Neodiprion lecontei: one gene and its partners. The protein of the gene in region 1 interacts with the protein of each later gene in a pairwise test. Links are inferred from orthologs where the notes say so. Each region holds a gene or a part of one and is shown in the gene's direction. Other genes may lie near its edges. The genes, in order: G-protein-signaling modulator 2, guanine nucleotide-binding protein G(i) subunit alpha and guanine nucleotide-binding protein G(o) subunit alpha.

Evidence for each region.
Region 2: the proteins of G-protein-signaling modulator 2 (region 1) and guanine nucleotide-binding protein G(i) subunit alpha interact in a two-hybrid assay, tested with the Drosophila melanogaster proteins (2 studies listed by BioGRID). The link is inferred for Neodiprion lecontei from reciprocal best matches to the Drosophila melanogaster genes pins and Galphai.
Region 3: the proteins of G-protein-signaling modulator 2 (region 1) and guanine nucleotide-binding protein G(o) subunit alpha interact in a two-hybrid assay, tested with the Drosophila melanogaster proteins (3 studies listed by BioGRID, with this or other methods). The link is inferred for Neodiprion lecontei from reciprocal best matches to the Drosophila melanogaster genes pins and Galphao.

Annotation. Positions count from the first base shown.
Region 1 is NC_060266.1:5,769,345-5,777,141, reverse strand, and holds the start of G-protein-signaling modulator 2, read left to right. Parts: upstream 1-1,674; 5' UTR 1,675-1,997; coding exon 1,998-2,048; intron 2,049-2,703; coding exon 2,704-3,072; intron 3,073-3,153; coding exon 3,154-3,296; intron 3,297-3,463; coding exon 3,464-3,703; intron 3,704-3,871; coding exon 3,872-4,343; intron 4,344-4,442; coding exon 4,443-4,466; intron 4,467-5,323; coding exon 5,324-5,929; 3' UTR 5,930-7,797. Other genes in the region: esterase E4-like, read left to right, coding at 1-141, 221-482.
Region 2 is NC_060264.1:31,887,284-31,894,086, reverse strand, and holds guanine nucleotide-binding protein G(i) subunit alpha, read left to right. Parts: upstream 1-2,068; 5' UTR 2,069-2,564; coding exon 2,565-2,685; intron 2,686-3,757; coding exon 3,758-3,942; intron 3,943-4,154; coding exon 4,155-4,441; intron 4,442-4,583; coding exon 4,584-5,064; 3' UTR 5,065-6,283; downstream 6,284-6,803. UniProt on the Drosophila melanogaster protein: Guanine nucleotide-binding proteins (G proteins) are involved as modulators or transducers in various transmembrane signaling systems.
Region 3 is NC_060260.1:39,891,599-39,896,565, reverse strand, and holds the start of guanine nucleotide-binding protein G(o) subunit alpha, read left to right. Parts: upstream 1-1,875; 5' UTR 1,876-2,842; intron 2,843-4,967. UniProt on the Drosophila melanogaster protein: Guanine nucleotide-binding proteins (G proteins) are involved as modulators or transducers in various transmembrane signaling systems.

The DNA of each region.
Region 1 (7,797 bases):
AGCTCACGGTGACGAAACCTTTTACATCTTTGCACCTGAACCGCAGTTTGCCAGACTAAATTTGAACAAAACCACGACCAGAAGAGATTTGGAAATCGTAGACATCATGGTTCAGTTGTGGACCTCCTTTGCAACCAATGGGTAAACCGTTACTAATCAGTAAATTGCTATTATTTCACTAATTTAATTGGCAAAGTGTGTTAAAGAATTGATTTTTCAGAACACCGACGACTTTGGCTTCAAACGGCACAATATGGAAACCATTTTCGGCTGTAGAGAGAAACTATCTTCAAATAGGAAACGGATCTGAAGTTTCGCTCAAAGTTCAGCATTCTTTCTTTGAGGAGCGAATGAAATTTTGGGCTACCTTAAAAGAAACTCCAAAGACCTTAACTGTCCTATCAAACGGCTCAAATGCCATAACATCCAAATTTTATTCATTATTCGTACTTATGTTATCTTTTTCAAAGATATTTTTGTAACAGCGATGAAGAAATGGATAAAAAAATGGAGTCTTTGGCAGACAACTGAAATATAAACCTCAGTATAATCAGTATTAAATAAATAGTAGAGTCACGACGAAAGGGGGATGTTCGTTAGTTTTATTCCATCTTGTGATATTTCCAACAGTTATGTGAATCTTCTGATTAAAAAATGCTGACACTCACGCCCATTTTCTCCGATACAGTTTGAACGGCGTTCAATTTCTTCTGTAAGGCTTGGAGCTAGGCTGAACTTAGTTTAAACTTCGATTACCGTTGCAGGATTCGGATCTTTTTAGAGTTGGGTTAGCTAGCACTAGTATGGAATAATCATAAGCAATAAGCATGGATATGGTCATTCCAGTCAGATCTTACATCCTATGCATACTGAGTGCGATTTTTCTAGAATTTTTCTTCTGCTATTGGTTAAAAACTAGAGAAAGCGCAGTTGTTGCGACGATTATACAACCGTGGTCGTTGCGCTCCGTGTGCAACCAGTGAAAAGCGCTTACTACTAGAGAGTTACTACGTTTACGTACGATCGTTTCACACATTATGCGTTGATTATATGTATAATTTGTACCATGCTTATGCACACCACTAATAATCTGTACATTGTATAAACGGCGCATGATGCTTTAATAAAATTAAACAAAATTATTAAACTGTACAAGTTAAACACACTAAAAGTGCAGGAAGGATGGGTAAACTTAGTGAATTATAATATGTTTTTGCTGTTCGACGTGAAACATCATTTCTGAACCTCAAATAGTTTATATTAAGGGTGCGTTCAGAAACTAGGTGGCAGTGCTAAGAACTCCCTAGGACAAGGACAGAGCTACTCCCCAACGCGAAAGCGCAAAAGCGATAAAAGATGATTAACACTTGGAGCCAATTTCGGAACACAACCTGTAATTCAGTCAGTGCATTGCATACGAGACTCAGGGTGCGTTCCGATATTACCTTCCATTGCTGTTAACAATATTTTATTTTTTTTGCATTGTCGAGTTCATCAGTAGCTCTGCCTTTGTCCTAGGGAACTGTTAGCGCTGCCACCCAATTTCGGAACGCACCCCTGTATACAACGTGAACACCACGAATACGACCGTTTGCATTCAGAGCCGTCTGGTTACAGTGATGCGTACTACAAGCCGGCCCCAAACCCCCCAAACTAAATTGAATAGGAAATTGTACGCGAAGTCGCAAACGCGCCATAGTGTCGATGCGCGGTTAGGGTGACGCGTTGATATCCGTGTGAATTTGCCGTAAACAAGTGAGAGTGTTGGTATAACAATAAATAATTTTTATTTACCGCAACAACTAATAGATAATTTCCAAAAAAAATGCTAAACTGTATTGATTCGACCTTTCTAATTGACGATCTATTGACGAAGGGGAGTGCCTCGTACACGTAAAGCTTAGCTCACGTCAAATTACACTTAACAATTCGTCGCCAGATAACAAATTGTTTATTCTTACCTTCAAAAATCCTTATAACCTGCTAGTACTCGACCAATGAAAATGTCGCACAGTGCGAGCGCGGAAAATCTTTCAGTAGACGGTCAAGTAAGTGAATCACATGTCCTTTTCTACCTCATTATTTGTCACTTGTCACTTAAATTCTTCAGTATATATATATATATATATGAGCCTTACCTACGTGCACTGAGTCATATGGGCATTTATTATGCTGTTCACAGAGAATTCTTTCCCACTTGTCATAGGATACACTGCCTTCCTAATCCTCTTACATTTTGCATTTTTCTCAAAATGAAAATTAAACTTCACCTCTTATTCCTGCAAAAAATTAATATAATCAAGTACTTTACTATTTTTTTTTGTTTATTCACTTGTTATTAACGGTAACTAAACTTAATCTCCCTCATCATGCGTCTCGTTACATTATTCTAGTCAAAATAACTCTGAACCCCAATTTGACTTACGTAACAATTTGATTTTCAATTAGAGAACGATACCCTATTTATGTTCGTTACAATAAGCTGGATTATGAGATTTACAGGAACAATATTGCTGTTCTACTAAACAATTTCAAGTGAAGCAAAATTGCCATATACTCTATATCCTCAATAAATTGGTAAAAATAGAGTAAATGCAGAAGAATACCTTGTAACTCGCGTTTAATCGTTGCTTTTAATACTTTACCAACATTAATTAATTGGCTAAACTATGTAAAAACATAAAACGAGTTTGTCCTTTACAGAATAGCGGGGGAGATAGCAACATGTGTTTGGAATTGGCCCTTGAAGGCGAGCGTCTTTGCAAGGAGGGCGATTGCCGCACAGGTGTTGCATTTTTTCAAGCAGCAATACAGGCTGGAACGGACGACCTAAGAACGTTGAGCGCGATCTACAGCCAACTTGGAAATGCTTACTTTTATCTTGGCGATTACGTCAAAGCAATGCAGTATCACAACCATGATTTAACATTGGCAAGAACTATGGGAGATAAATTAGGGGAAGCTAAATCGAGCGGAAATCTTGGAAATACTCTGAAAGTTATGGGAAAGTTTGACGAAGCTACGATATGCTGTAAAAGGCATTTAGAAATATCGAGGGAACTAGGCGATAAGGTAAGATTTTTTATTCACCTCTGTTCCGCTCTTCCTTCCTCATGCATTCTCATTTTTAATCAAGCATTTTTTATGCATCAGCTCAGCGAAGGTCGAGCTCTTTACAATCTCGGAAATGTTTATCACGCCAAGGGTAAACAAATTGGCAGAGTCGGACAGCAAGATCCAGGAGAATTTCCTGAGGATGTCAGACAGTGTCTTCAGGAAGCTGTTCATTACTACGAGTATGTTACTTTTACATCTATAGAATAGCTTGTCTTCAAATTCAGTAATATTATATACGTACTGGATACCGCGGCTTTTTAATATTTTTTGCTCTGAAATGAATGCGTTGCAGTAGTGGCAACATTTTAGTATCCAATTACCTGATTGAACAATTGTGATTTCCTAGAGAAAATTTGAAGCTGATGAGAGAGTTGAGCGATACAGCTGCACAAGGGAGAGCATGTGGAAACTTGGGAAACACATTTTACTTGCTGGGTGATTTTCAACAAGCAATTCATTACCACAATGAAAGATTAAAAATTGCACGAGAGTTTGGTGATAAAGCTGCGGAAAGACGAGCCAACAGCAATTTGGGGAACTCGCATATATTTCTCGGAGAATTTGAAAAAGCAGCTCAACATTACAAGTAAGTTATCAGCGGGTTGAAGCCGAAGAACTTTGAAATTTTGTTATACCACAGGTTGATAACTCCTGATCCATTTTCAGAGAAACTGCTATTGAACTGTACAAAATTTCTCAAGGTGCGTTACTTCGTTACATGTTAAAATAATTAAAATTCAAAATTTGTTCACAGACGTACGCTGGTCCTTGCTCAAGAATTGCGTGACCGAGCGGTAGAAGCACAAGCGTGTTATTCCCTTGGCAATACCTACACGCTCCTCCGCGATTACCAAGCTGCTGTAGACTACCATCTCCGTCATCTTTCCATTGCGCAACAGCTGATGGATCGAGTTGGAGAAGGTCGAGCCTGTTGGTCGTTGGGAAATGCTTACTCAGCAATGGGTAACCATGAGAAAGCGTTGCACTTTGCCAGCCTACATTTGAATATTTCTAAAGAGTTGAACGATCCAATGGGTCAAGCTACCGCTCAGATGAACGTTACCGATCTGAAGAAACTTTTAGGCTTAGAAAAAGGGGACGGAGAAGCGGAGAGTGGAAACGGAATGCATTTAATCCCAACGAGCAAAGCCTCGGCTATAGCGGCTTCTTCGCCAGGTAGATACAGGTTGAGAAGACAGAGCATGGACAATCTGGATCTGATCAAGGTGAGCGATAGAATGTTTTTGTTCAATGCATCTCTAGACTGCAAATAGTTCTAAAATAACCGAATTTATTGTAATTATTCGGTATTTCCTTGCATATAGTTATTTACAAGGACCATGGAACCGGTAATACTTTCTTCTTTGAACAAAGATTATTGTGTATTAATATGTAGAATAACCAGATAGAAGTAAAACTACCAATTTTCAGTAAACAATACAACGTTCGAAGAGTCTGGTAATATAGAAAATAACTGTCGAAAAACCCCAGTGATTTTTCTTTGCAAGGCAATATCAAGGAAATTTTTTTATGAAAATTTTTCTTTGCACACATTTCACAAATATCATTTTTTCTCCAATCTTGTCCTATCTTGTTGTTCCATTCATTATGCATAGAATCTATAAGGCAACATAAAGTTGAGTATTGAATAACAGAAAGTTATTCAGTAAGAACAGTATCAGTTTTCATTTTAACATTTTATTATAATTTTGAGAAATATCGAATAACCTTGTTAATTAGAGTAATTGACGGTATGGATGGAATAGCTAATTGTAAGTCAATTTAACTATTTTTCCGGTGATCAGTTCAGGAAAAATGTATGGCCCAACTCTATAGGTTGTGTTACTTTACTTCTTGTGACCAGAAAACAAAGGTCACAACAGAATAATATTTTTAGACCATGAAAACATATCGTTCTAAAAATCATCACACGTCAAGCTTTCCTAACAATTCCTGTTAAACCTCTTATTAAACATTAGCATTTTCAAATTTTGTGCAAAGCATCTTCAACTCAAGTAAAACCATTGTCGCAAAAGATTTAAATTGGCTACCTTCAGATTCAGCTCATGTTACAATGCTTATACATTTCAGAAAACGAAGACGTTGATCAACATGTATTATTGACTGAAAATTGATAAATTTTCCCTTTATCCATCATGTATACAATCTGAAGTTATTGTAATTCATTATCCAAATTTTTATCCAGTTGACTCCAGATGGTAAGCAAAAAGATATGGGTGAGCCTCTGCCTGCTAGAGCCGGAATCGCACCACAGCCTTCGCAAGAAGAAGAAGAAGAATCTTTCTTCGAACTTCTATCACGATTTCAATCAGGTCGAATGGATGATCAGCGCTGTGTGCTAAATGCCAATCAAAAACCGAGACCCAGGCCAAGAGTGGCGACTCCAGAAAAAGAGAAAGAAGGAGAAGATTTACTGGAGCTAATAGCTGGAATGCAAAGTAAGCGAATGGATGAGCAGCGTGTAACTCTGCCTTGCTTGCCAGGATTGAATACAAACAGGAACAATCAGTCAGCGAATAGGCCTCCCCCACAGCCAATTGGGCAGGAAGCTGATGATTCATTTATTGAAATGCTGGTGCGATGCCAAGGCTCACGTTTAGAGGATCAACGTAGTCCTTTGCCAGCTGCTTCAACATTACACGATGCAGAGGAGGAACAAAACCAAAGAAGAAACGGAAACACCCCATCAAGAACTACCGTACCCGAAGAAGATCTGTTTGCCCTAATTCAGAGACTGCAGGCTGGTCGCATGGAAGATCAACGAGCTTCTGGACCAGCAAAAGGCCATTAAAACTGTAAGTAAGTATACCAACTATTTGATGAAAATAATAATAAATTAATACTAAGCAATCTTTGAAAAAATAACATTTTGGAAAGGTATCACCACTGTATAATCAACATGAGTAACTACAAATTTTCGGTGTAACCATTTGAATTTTGTAAAAATCAACTCATGGTGATTACAAATGATATGTTCAAAAATGTTACATTTACAATGTAATCAATGGCTAGGTGGTCGATAAAAATTTGTACAATAGATTCTTTATAAGTTCTCGCATGCTAATTTCCTCTCTTTTCACAAAATAGTCAATCGGGTGACTTTTCTTCTACCTACAATTGTGTGGTGCTCCCTAAAGTTTAATTAAAACTCTGTGTCCTGTCCAAATCGCATTTCGACCCTTCAAATAGGATGGTTTGTTTTCTGCCCAACTTTGCTTCTTTGACCACAGTTTGTCACATTAAAAAGAAACATTTTGATATCTTCCATGTTATTTACATCAAAAGGAGATATTTTGTCACAAGGTTATGGTGAAAATTTAGTAAACTAGTGCCGTGAACCAAATATAATACTTTTATGGAAAGCAAAATCAAACGACACTATCAAATTTCTTAAACCACCTAATAATTGATTATTTATCATTGAAATCGTGCCAAAAAAGTATCATGAGACTCTTGGATAAACGGACATATACTGAGATGTAAGTCAGAGTACTGCACAAGAGATTACAATTATCTTTGTGATAGATGTGTATAAAATTGTATAAATGCTGCGACAAAATCTATTAACAGTAAAATATATGTAGAAAACGTTAGAAAAATGTGGAGTAGGATACTGATCGGTTTTGTTGACTTTTTTCAACACCGTTACAATGAATCTTGAATATTTTGTTTCTCATTCACAATCCAAAAGAGTAGTGCATAAGGATTATCATTCAAACATAAAAAATAAAGGTACTACTAGATATGTACCTATATCCAATGCAGGAATCGAATGAACCGAAAGCCATAAAGCTAATATAGTTAAAGTAGTATTATTAATATGAAAAGTAAGTTAATCAATTTATTACTTCTACGTTTTGTCTGTAATAGGTCTCTTTTTTTCTTTTTGTCCCATTTGAGCGTCAGCAAATTTCTTCAACAGCCTAACTCTAGAAATCCAGCTTCTTAATTGTAAAAATATGTATTCGCCCTTGTAATTGGTGGTATGTACATACGTAGTATTATGTACATTCAATGCAGTTTTCCGAATTCATTACTATACTAAATTTCGATTACTTTTCGTTATATTGATTTGAAACATTATATAAAATTCAAACTAACATTTGATGCCACTCCGGATATTACATGATGAAAGCACATGCAAAACAGTAGACATTTGCAGTAATCAGTTATCTTCATAGACAAATCCCATCGGATAGCGTAGTGTTGTCTTGACGGTGCTAAGATCACTAAATAAAATACCATATTACATTTATTATTAATCGTTCCAAAGTACTGATTAAATTTATTCTTCACAGAGAATATATAGTAAAGAATCCTTTTTCGTATTTCGTAATTTTTTTTCGAATGAGGTAGTTTTTCCAACGCATGTATATTTTAATAATTAGGACGCACAATCTACTGTTTGTTGTTATTGCTAAAAATATACTCAGAGATAGTTGTCATTAAAATATTTACAGCCTTGTCGCTAACTTAAGTGGCAAAGAAATTAAATTTGAGAGTAAATCAAATGTGTGTTTCTTCCTTCAGATGAAATTTACTCTCCATGTTAACTGTTTAGCTGTCATTCAACAAGCCAAGTTATAGTATCCAATATGGATTAAATTTTATTGTAAAGCTATGAAATTCATAATGCGAACTATGCATAGACGAAACGAT
Region 2 (6,803 bases), on another chromosome or scaffold:
GGTGTCCTCAATTGAGAGGAATTGAGATATAAGTGAACTTGAGGGGTCGTGTTAGGTCTATGTATGCCAGAGCTACGATTCAATGAATGAAGAAACATCGTTTTTTTACCATTTTTACACATTCGATTATTGCGGCGAAAATGATGACCATTGAATTAAATAATCAATTCGGAACAATATGTATTTATCACTATCGTGGCTAATCAATCGCAATCTAGATGAAATTTTTTTTGAAATAGCTGTGTTCAACATTATCAACGATTTAAAACAGATTACAATGTCGTTAAAATGAAATTTAAATTCGTTACGCAGACTAAAATAAATTACGCAATCGATTCGCGATATCCTTATTTAGTGTATAGAGACTGTATATCTCCGGAACAAATTCATACTGTTCATTTCCATTCAATTCAAGGTTACTCGCTCAAGAATTTCCATCATTGTCAATCTCTGTCGACCTAGTTTTCTACCCAGCTTTCCATACTGGATATTTTACTAAACTGCTCGAAGTAAAATAATTGACACATTCGAACGGCAGAGACTTGAGTTTTCCTTTCGATTGTTTCATTTTGATAAAAAAAAAAACTCAACCGATGCAGCAGTTCTAATTTCAGGTTTACTATAAATGTATTGCATAATAGAATCGGACGCTTCTTTCAATGTCATGTAACATAAGGAGACGCAAGGCTACAGAGCGATTGGAACTGGGACTAAAAAAAAAGTGTCTTGAGAAAAATCCGGTCCAACGAACGGAATAACTATGCATAAATGAATGACAACGTGCTCTGTTGTAACCCAAGATATACCTACAGACGCTTGCCAATTTGGTAAATTGCTATTTTGACGACAGAACAACGAGCATCCTTACACGGGACGCTGATTTTAATCCTGTCAATATAACGAGTGCAAAATTATTGTAATAGGTTGCCGTCATTAAAGTTCTGTGCTGCGTTTTAAATATTGATACAATCACGAGAATTTGTACGTATTAACCGCCACAAAAAGCAGGTTTATGAATATGGAATACAACATTCTACGGACTATTTTAATGTTGAAACTTAAAATAACTTCAGTATGAATGCGAGTTTTTTTTTTAATATTTGTAATTGAATACAAGACATAACTCATCATTTTATGATTAATGACACCGCTATTTGAATTTTATGCACTTTTATACGGTGTCAGTTTGCACCAGGAATGTAAGTTTTTCAGCCCGCTAGATAGATTGCTCGTGGGACTGATGGGTGAACTGTAATACTGACATTTCGTGAAAAATATAAAATGCAATTTTCTAAATGTATTTAAAAGTAAATCAAATCGTTTCAATTCATTGACATTTTTTCATCTTTGAATAAAGAAATTTTATTCTTTGTCTCGAGTAATTTCCTCATTAAACAGAGGTATCTTTTCAACGTTTAATTAACGCGATGATGAAAGAACGTGGCATTCCAATTGGCTACCCACCGTGTAGCTTCACTTTCATGAAGCGACTACGCGCATGACTGTACTTTTTTAAATAGATAAACAAGAACTCGAAATTAACGGTAATACACAATTGTAATGCAACTGGCCACCGTTCTTCAACGAATGGTAAACTTTTGAAAACAATTTCGGAGCGAAACTAATTGGTAGCACTAAAAACTCTCTAGTACAGAGGCAGAGCTAGTCACGAACTCGGTTGTGCAAAAGAGATAAAGGATTGTTGACAAGACTGGGAATAAATTTCGGAACGCAACCTTAGGCAAGAAAAAAGATCTTAAAACAAATAGACGTGGAGGAAGCCTGGTATACCCTTTCGTGTAAGTGGAAAACGGCATGGAGAGGGTAGTGGTAAGACTAGTTCCCTTCTTTGTCTAACGCAGTTATAGAGAGATAGTAGAGAGAGAGAGTATCTGGTCTTAGTACGTCCCTCTCTCTCTACGGCTCGACACTCTCTCGGCATGATAAAACGGGTGCTGATTATATAAATGTCCGCCACGCGTTAAAATAGCGCTAGAATCGTTGAGTACAAAATGTCGAGTTGGTAACCCGTCTAGATCTTTCTTACACATCCAATGCTTGTCGAGTCTAAAATGGAGCGCGTCGGCGCATAGTTGCGTGATAAGTCATTGGTGTGGGCGCGTCAAATGTTTTAAACATAAAGTCGAGCAGCAGACCCGTGTAGTATTCGTGTTAAATAATGAACAATAATTTGTGGAATAAAAGAGGCGAGGGGGTGGACGGTGAGCTGTAATAGATGTTTATTGGGGAATCGGTAAACCCGGACTGCGACCAAGCCGTCGTATGTGCGGATATACGTGTGTAATAGGAGTTCGGTCGGTACTTGGGGCCTCCGTCTTCTGTCGTTGGCTGCACTCGGTGCACGGGGCGGGCGGTTCCCACACGCAATACAAGGCGAAGCAACAAGTGTCACCCGGAGTTTGATTCGACCGATATACGATTTGCGGCGCCGATCTTATCCTGGCCGATTTCACGCAGACCTTACTTCTGCCAGGCGTTCCAGTCACTCGAAACGAGGACTATTTGAACGATTTATTGAACGTGATATAGCAAAGAATCGAAAAATGGGATGCGCCGTTAGCACTACCGGCGACAAGGAGGCTGCCGAGAGGTCTAAGAAAATTGACAAAGATCTCAGAATGGATGGCGAACGCGCTGCCAGCGAGGTCAAACTCCTGCTTCTTGGTAAATTATCATCTAAACACAAAATAACGATGTGTTGAACTAAATTTTATGCAAGTTTCTCTTCGTTCCGCGGCTCGTCGCTATCGCGTCCGAGACCCGTTCATCGTTTTTTCCGTCGTTCCGCGATTCGCGGACATGAAAAAACAAAAGAGAAACGAAACAAAAACGGACGAACTGTGCGTAAATACTGCTTGTTTTCGCACGCTTAATTTTTACACATCCCGTGCAAATTGCTAACGTGTTACCATTTACTTTTTGTTTCTTCTCGGTTTGTTTGATAGCGTTTTATCTCTCCTCGTTTACTGAGAACGGGACTAACGCGACCATGTTCTCTTAATTGAAATGGTAAAAACAGCCAATTAACGTATGATTCAATGGTATAATTAAGGCCGCGATGAATCCGGCCGTCAAAACGATGCGAAAAATTATTCTTTCATCTTTGTTTACCCCATTTCTTCTTATCGTAACTCGTCGTTCTTCTAAATTACCTTCTCTTACACTATATTGTCAAATTGAATTTACCAAAAATTATTATTATTATTAGAAATTGACCTAACTGAGGTTTTTTCACCACTGGTCATTACACAAATGGGTTTAGAACTTTTCTAATTTCTCTCATCTTATTTCTCATGGCAATGAGATGAGATAGCAAAAAACATCCTATCCTCCTTAATGCTACACAGGATATTGCAATGCATGTATCCACACAGCATGGTTGATTGTAGTAAAATAGCTGATTGATGTCTGCCTGTATACACATGGCTTCTCGTCACTAGATGATTCAGCTGAGGGAAGGGAACACTCATGGATTTCACAATTATTAAATTTCACTATTATCTTATCTCATGGAAAGCTGGTGGTGACATATTATTTCAATTATGAGCTGAGAAGAATTATGATTAATATGTTGAAATACCTGACGAATTATGTTTGCAACAAAAAAAAAAAAATTTTCAATGACCAAAACTTCAATTAATGTTCCTAAGCTACAAGAAACATGTGACAATTTTTTTTTCCCCCCGATCTATTTCAAGGTAATTTTTACAACAATTCATTTCATTTTTATTCCAAGGTGCTGGAGAGTCCGGAAAATCGACGATCGTTAAACAGATGAGAATCATTCATGAAACCGGGTACAGTAAAGAAGAATGCGAAGAGTATAAACCGGTTGTTTATAGCAATACTATACAGAGTCTGATGACAATTATCAGAGCCATGGGTCAGCTAAGAATTGATTTTGCAGACCCAAATAAGGTGGTGCGTAAATTTTTCGAAAGCAACATGTAAACGTGTTTTAATGACTGAAAGTTAATATTATTTTCCACTCCAATTTTCGTTAAATGAATTACTCTACTGTTAAAAATGATCAAAATTGTTCAAATTGCATCCCGGGATCTTTTATCTGATGAAAAATAAACTTTTGCTAATATTTATGGTATTCATGCATTAATAAATTCGTCACCTTCTAGGATATTGCTAGGCAATTTTTCACTCTAGCATCGGCAGCAGAGGAGGGTGACCTGACGGGAGAGCTAGTTTTATTAATGAAGAGATTATGGCAGGACGCAGGAGTACAACTTTGTTTCACACGTAGTAGAGAATATCAGCTCAATGATTCGGCGGCATATTACCTCAATGCTCTTGATCGCATTGCCCAACCCCATTACATACCGACACAACAGGATGTTCTCAGGACCAGAGTCAAAACGACAGGAATCGTTGAAACGGAGTTTTCGTTTAAAGGGATTGACTTCAAGTGAGTTCTTCAATCTTTCAAACATCATATTAATATCAATTTTTGTCTCTAGCACTGCCATGAATATGTCGCCACAGCCCAATATTGAATTATCTATGGTCAATCCAAGTTCTCGGGAATTACTTTCTTATTCTCTTTCCAGAATGTTTGATGTTGGTGGACAAAGATCAGAACGTAAAAAATGGATTCACTGCTTCGAGGGGGTAACAGCGATAATATTCTGCGTTGCACTGAGTGGTTACGATTTAGTCTTGGCCGAGGATGAGGAGATGAACAGGATGATAGAATCAATGAAGTTGTTCGATTCGATATGTAACAGTAAATGGTTTGTCGATACGTCGATAATTCTGTTTTTAAACAAGAAAGATCTGTTTGAGGATAAAATAACGAGGAGCCCTTTGACCATATGCTTTCCTGAATATAAAGGGCCGAATACATACGAAGATTGCGCATCATACATTCAAATGAAATTTGAAAACTTGAACAAAAGAAAAGACCGTAAAAAAATATACACGCACTTCACATGTGCGACTGACACCAATAACATTCAATTCGTATTTGATGCTGTGACTGATGTTATAATTAAGAACAACTTGAGTAACTGCGGCTTATTATTAAGCTGAACAATTTCAGAATCCGTCGATGATGCCGATTAAATCAAAACATTCTGAATCCGCGACACGTCTATAATTTTCACCTCTAATACTGGTTATTAATGGTTGATAAATCGAGGGCGTTCATCAGTTTGGAATGCTTTAAAAACTCGTGCGAATTGTCTGTCCGGATCAAAAATATAAATTTTTCACCAAATCTCATCAGGCATTTAGTTTTTAGACATTAGGTGTTTAATTAAAATCTTCATTCCTAGTACGCGATACTTAATCAAAATGAATCTAATTTAAATCATAATCCACGTTTGATAGAAAAAACTATTTTTTTTTTTTTTTTCGAAACGCACGTTTTTACCGCACAGAATCTCCGCGCAAAACTCGTCTTTATAGTTTATAGAAAATCATAGCATGGCACTTTTCTAATGTTTCTTTTTTTTATACTTTGTATATTAGAAGTAAATTAGCTTTATTGCGCATAATATACTCGATATATCGTTTTAATAACAAACTATAACACGGTCGTCTTTTGTCAGTTTCTGAACACCAATTTTTAATGTCTGGAATTATTAATCAAAAATTGATGAGATCGTAGGGTGCTTAAAAAGACTGTGTATTCAGTATTTCATTTTTTGTTTCTACTTTTAAATTGGAAGATTTCATTATTCTATTTCGGCCAAAAATAACACGACAGAGAGAAAGCGTCGTAAAACCCGAAACTTCTCGCGAAAATTTTAATAAAAATATTTAAACGTCATTGAAAAAATGTATAAAAGTTTTACTCAATTGAAAGAAAACTATGTTTCCTCAAATTGAATATAAAAACAAGCGATTTTAAACAACAATTTATCATTGTTTAACTGGAAATTGACAACGTGCCTTTTTTTCGCTTCATCGTACAAGTTTCTATGATTTTTTCGATGATGTTTGATGAAATTCATCGCCGTAAGCCAGATTGCAAGAAGATAAAACCAATATTAGACTAGATATATGAAACTTTTTTTAAACACCCTAGATGTATGTATGTCTTTTAAGTAGCTCCAGCAAATTTGGTTTTGTTCCGATCGTGTTGTAGTTTAAAAAATAGTCTGAAACAATCGTCTCTGTATATAATTTATTATAGTGGAAGAAGAAAGAAAAATGAAAGAAAATGTTGCAAAAAAAAAAAGAAAAAGAGAAAGAGAAAGAATCTACTGGAATCTCAAATCTAGTACCTAAAATCTCTAAAATGGACCAATTTGTGTGTTAGTTAATAATAATAACAATAATAATAATATCTGGTTTAATTCATGAATTCCAGTTTCGTCTATTATGAAAATAGATTTGTTTTCGAAGTATTTTTTTACGTGTACAGTTACGTGTATGTTTGTTTGTTCGTTTTTTTTTTGTTTCTCATGCAATAACAAAATATGTGTACTTCATAATTCACGGTAATAACAACAATAATCAATATTACTGTTGGACCTTTCTAGCTGTATATTCGCGTTGTCCGAGAAGTACGACATTCCATTCCATTCTATTTCATTTGCACGATCTGATTGTTGAACTACAGGCTACCAAGCAATCCCTTCATCTTTAATTTTCAAAACACTGGATACTGTTTTCATGAAATCAGATAAACCATATTTAAAATGTCATCTTGTCGATATTTTGCATGGGGTTTAGATTGACTATTTAACGTTGTTGGAAAGAGAAGTGAAATTGAACAACTTTTTTCTAGCAGCCCTATGCTTTTTTCATATTTTAATTACATA
Region 3 (4,967 bases), on another chromosome or scaffold:
TATAATATATAATATATATATATATATATATATATATATATATATACACACCTTATACGACATGTAGAGTTGGGCACTTTTAACATATTTCACAAATTTTTAAATGACCTATAACTATGTAATAATATCTATTGTACGATATGATAATACATTAAACTGAGTAATTGTAATAGACACTCGATGTAAATATGATATCAGGAATGTCATGTGTTGTTTGATAATAACCAAAATATATACATAGATACATAATAAATAATATATATATATAAATATTAATAATAAATATATATATATTATTTTCAATAAAGTACAGTGGAAAAAAGCGCATATATTGCAATAATATATACATATATATATATTCTATACATATACTGATTCGCCTATGCATACAAAAATTCATAAATATATTATACGTATACAGTACATGAGTCTGCGATAATCAAATTATTATGTAAAAACTATGAAACTCTGTTTCAATTATCTCCGCATCCGTAATTTCACATATTCACTGGCGTTACTTTAGGCTTGATAATTTTGTATTTCGTATTTTTCTATTTCTCTCTCTTATTTACCATCTACAATTCGAATTATACAGCCTTGATCAAACCGTGCAGCTTCCAATATTCTTTTCATTTTGAATCCAAACTTTACACATATACGATCTTTATACTGCAAGCGGTCGTTACTTTGATACGCCAACTATTATTTATTAGGCAATTGTATAAAAGATCTTGCTATTTATACTCACACACACACACACACACGTTGTACGTTACAAAAGTTCGGCGAGAAGAAGGAAGTGGAGGAAGAGGAGAAGGAGGAGGCGGAGGTGGAGGAGATTAAGTACGTTCGTGCAAAATAGCAAGTGTTGATCAAGGTCTGTCAGGCAGAATATCACATGCACGGCATACATGTAGAATTTTAATAGGTTGATACATTATTATATCGTGGCATAATTTTTACCCGTGTGTAAACGGAAATAAATGAATGAATAATTAAATTCAGGTTTTATTGAACTGTAAATTTGATCAGTTTACAACGAGATAAGTCGCAGGTTTTTCTTTTGTACATAACTAAGATTCGGGATCGTCGTTGCATTATTACACGTTCATTGAACGCAGTAAAAAGTTCTCGTATTCAGCCGCGAAAGAAATAAGAAATTTAAGTAATTAATGATAGAATAAAATAAGAAATACATCACGATGTCATGCCAAGAAGCGATAGTATACACACAAAAACAAACTATCACCGGATACTGTGGTGTACATACGTATATATATATATGTCTATATATTCACCGTTAAGACTGAATATTTGAATAATTCTCGACAATGAGTTTCAACTTTGTGAATGAATATTGGCATTTTGCCAAACGTGAATCGTTTCGTTCTACCACGTATATCCCTCACAGCAATTTAGGATTTGAGATGTATGCATACAGCCTCCATAATCAAGTTGCAAAAGAAGACAATTCGTGACACGTTTCGTTGAACAACGATATTTTTTATTGCGTTATTTAAAAATAACGCAAATTTTGTTTTCCTTCGAAGAAGCATACCAACTAATACTTTACTCGTCTGCCAAGACGGATATAATTTGAAAGCAAGCAATCAAAAGTCTTAAAAATTCCAGCAGTCAGCCTTCCCCCCGCCCCGTTTCAAATCTTCGCGTCCTATCTTTCCGGCAGTATTTCAGTACCGTAACTCTCGTCGTTACCGGCCGAGCGAAGTGGCGACCGTTGGTTCGGGCAAGCGACGCCAGATGTCGCCAGGCTGTAGTTTGAATCTCCAGCAAACAGGATCTCGGTCCTCTGCCTAGACGCGGGGCCCGTGGGCTGGTGCGTGGGATTGATCGGGCGGCCGGCTCGTCCCCAGCAGCGAGCGAAGGTTCGGGCGGGGCGAGAGGTCGCTGGCGTCGAGGTAGCTGCCAGTACGCGTCCAGCCTGCCGCTGTCAAAAGACGTTTTTCGATCGGTTTTAGAAAAATTTGTATCGCGTTCCCGCAGGGGGAGGAGAGCTAGAGTCACGACGAAGGCACAGCCCGGGCGTAGCTCGATTTCGCTGTTAGAAAGCGAAGAAGGCACCTAAGAAAGGTGGACGAATCGCGCGGGACGATATATAAACGGAAGAGTATTCGGGAGTGTTTATGCATCAATCAAACGGCGAAGAGGTGGCGGAGTAGATCCAGAGAGAATAGAGAGCCAGAGGGAGAAGTGATATCAACTCGTAGTTTTGGAAGAAAAATAGAAGTGACCGCGCGTCGCCGGTGAACGATTCAGAGTATATATATACATATAAAAAAAATAAAAATTTTTTTTTCAAAAAACGCGTAAGGAGAAACGGCAGAGCGTATACCCCCCGTTTGGATTGTGTAAAAAGTACCAACCCACCTCCTGAGAGACGGGGCTGTGCCGGGGCTTACGATTCTCAAATTATCGATCAAATACATAGTATCGGAAAATACAAGTGACCGGGAGTGCGCGAAAAAAAATCCCCAATAATTCTCTCGTCGCGATATCACGGTGATATAATTATCGGCAAAAAAAAAAAAAAAAAACGGTACAATACAAGCGAGAACGCATCGTTACGGGGATAATAATCGAAATTCAAAATCCATCATTCGAGAATAAAGCAGGGAGTTAACGACCCGCAAAGGCAGTGTGATACGATTAAAGGCAGAGGCAGCCAGGCGATCCGACGGAGTCGAAAGTCCAGGGTGTATGAATGTCCGAGTTCCGCGGTGCTGCAACGGCGCGGTTTAACCACCCTTGGACATAGGAAGCAGGAGACGTGCGAGGAGGAAGCCGTTTCATCGGTCTCCGAGTTCGCGGGGTGGCTTCGAAAGTAAGTGATGACGAAAAGGGTAGAGAGAGAGAGGGAAAGAGACAGAGGGAGAGAGCGAGAGAGAGAGAGAAAATGAAAATGAAAAAATAAGGGAAACAACCGCCGCCGACTCCCTAGGCTCGAATATGGCACTCCAATCAAACGCGGGCGGCGTTCCGCTCCTCGGACGGGGGAGAGAGGCGAGTCAATTGCTTTGCGGCCGCCGCTTCGCTGGTGGCGTGCGTAGGAGGGTGCGTGCAGTGCCACCGCCGCTGCTCGATCCCTCGCGATGTCGGCTTATCACCGTCTTTCCGTCCCCGCGTCTCGTTTCCCGTTCGCGCCCGCTCGGGACTCGGAGTCAATAGCTCGCAGGTACCTTCGATGTGCACGCCTTCACGTGCTCCGAGCAGACCCAGTGTGAATTTCGGGGCGATATTTCGGCGAACCAGTATTGTCGTTGAGCGAATGAAGCGCGAGGAGGATCGTCTGCTGTTGCTGTTCCGCTCGAAGCTAGCCGCGGTCGAACGTTCGAAATTCAAATTTGGAAACAAGTATTCGAAAAGCGTAGCGAATCGTAATCGTCGTTGAGCGAACGAAGCGCGAGAACGATCGTCTGCTGTTGACGTTTGGCTCGAAGCAAGCCGCGGTCGAACGTTCGAAATTCAAATTTGAAAATAACTATTCGAAGAGCATAGGTTGCATAGATCTGTAATACGATGCATAAGAACAGAGCATGCAGTTTATTGTGAAGATGTAGATGTCGCGCAACGCGGTTACATCCTCGTTAACAATTTTGTATTCGATCTGCGGATTCGCGCGAACAAGTAGAGGAAAACCGACAATGAAAGGACGTCGACGCGGCGCCGCGTAGTCGGTGCGTAATTATTTGCGGTAGATAGTAGATAGATACGGTGTAGATTAAAACGGGATTTTTACCGCGGTGCCCCGCTCTCGTCGTTCAGGACCGGGAACGAAACGGAGAATCGCTAGTTTGCTGGTTCGCTCTTCGCAGAGTTGCCGCTGCTTTTCACTGCTGTATCCATCGGCAGCCGGCGACCCCCACCAATGAAGCATGATGAATAAGTGCCTGCCGGAGAATCCGGAGATCGGGTCCGCCTCTGCGGCAGCTTTCGAGTTCGCTGCTACATACACGCTCATATTTCTTAAAATAAATACCCACCCCCGTGCGTACATGTCCGACACAAGTATGTATATACGTTTCGTACCGTTGTTGTACGCCGCCTCCGAGATTCAAATGTGTAATGAAGGAAAACCTCGGCGGTCGATTTTTTAACTTCGTGAAAAACGAATTGTTCCTCGTTCAAGCTGCTGCATGCCCGACGTTGCGTGTTCTTTCGACGACTTTTTTTTCCTGCTACTTTCGTCACGCCTTTCTTTTTACGTAGGTATATTAATTACAATAATAAGGCACGTTAGGGAGCACGAAAGAAAATTTAACTCGAGTTTGATTTCGATTAGAATCTCGTTATTATCGATTAGATTCCGTTCGAAATGGATTGTTTCATTCACGATTTATTCAAGAAGAAGCTGAAGCTAGCAGCCAGAGTTAAACTTTTTGGAAATGGAAAAATGCATTTTAGTTTCATCCTCTTAATTCTATAAAAGTATCGGAGGTTCAAGGTTTTTTCACGAAATTTTGACTATCGGTCTTCGCTACCTTATTCGAATGAACATTAGAACGTTTCGCTGTGGATTCTGGATGCTAGGGTTCATCCTCGTGAATTTAATGGCATGTGTGTTATCAACTGCGAGAATCGTATCTCGCGTTCTTACAAGAGAATCGCTGACGTTCGCGTAACGAGTCTTGAATAATTGTTAAGCGGTTAGAAAAAAACCAAAAGAAACGAAAGCAACGTACGAGGTAGATAAATTTCAAATGCACACATGTTACGTGCATGTATGTACAGTATTTAACGAAGCGGGGCAAGATACGTGTATAACGGTCTCTGAAGTCCGGAAATTTCGGGTCAAATTTAAATTAACGCATCTCTTCCGCAGCGATGTAGGTATATAATGCGGTATAATACGTGCGGTGAGGATTATACCTACGTACATATGTATATGTTATACGTAGTAAGATGGGAGTCGAAAATAAGGAAGAATTAAATTCGACTGTAGCGGAAGT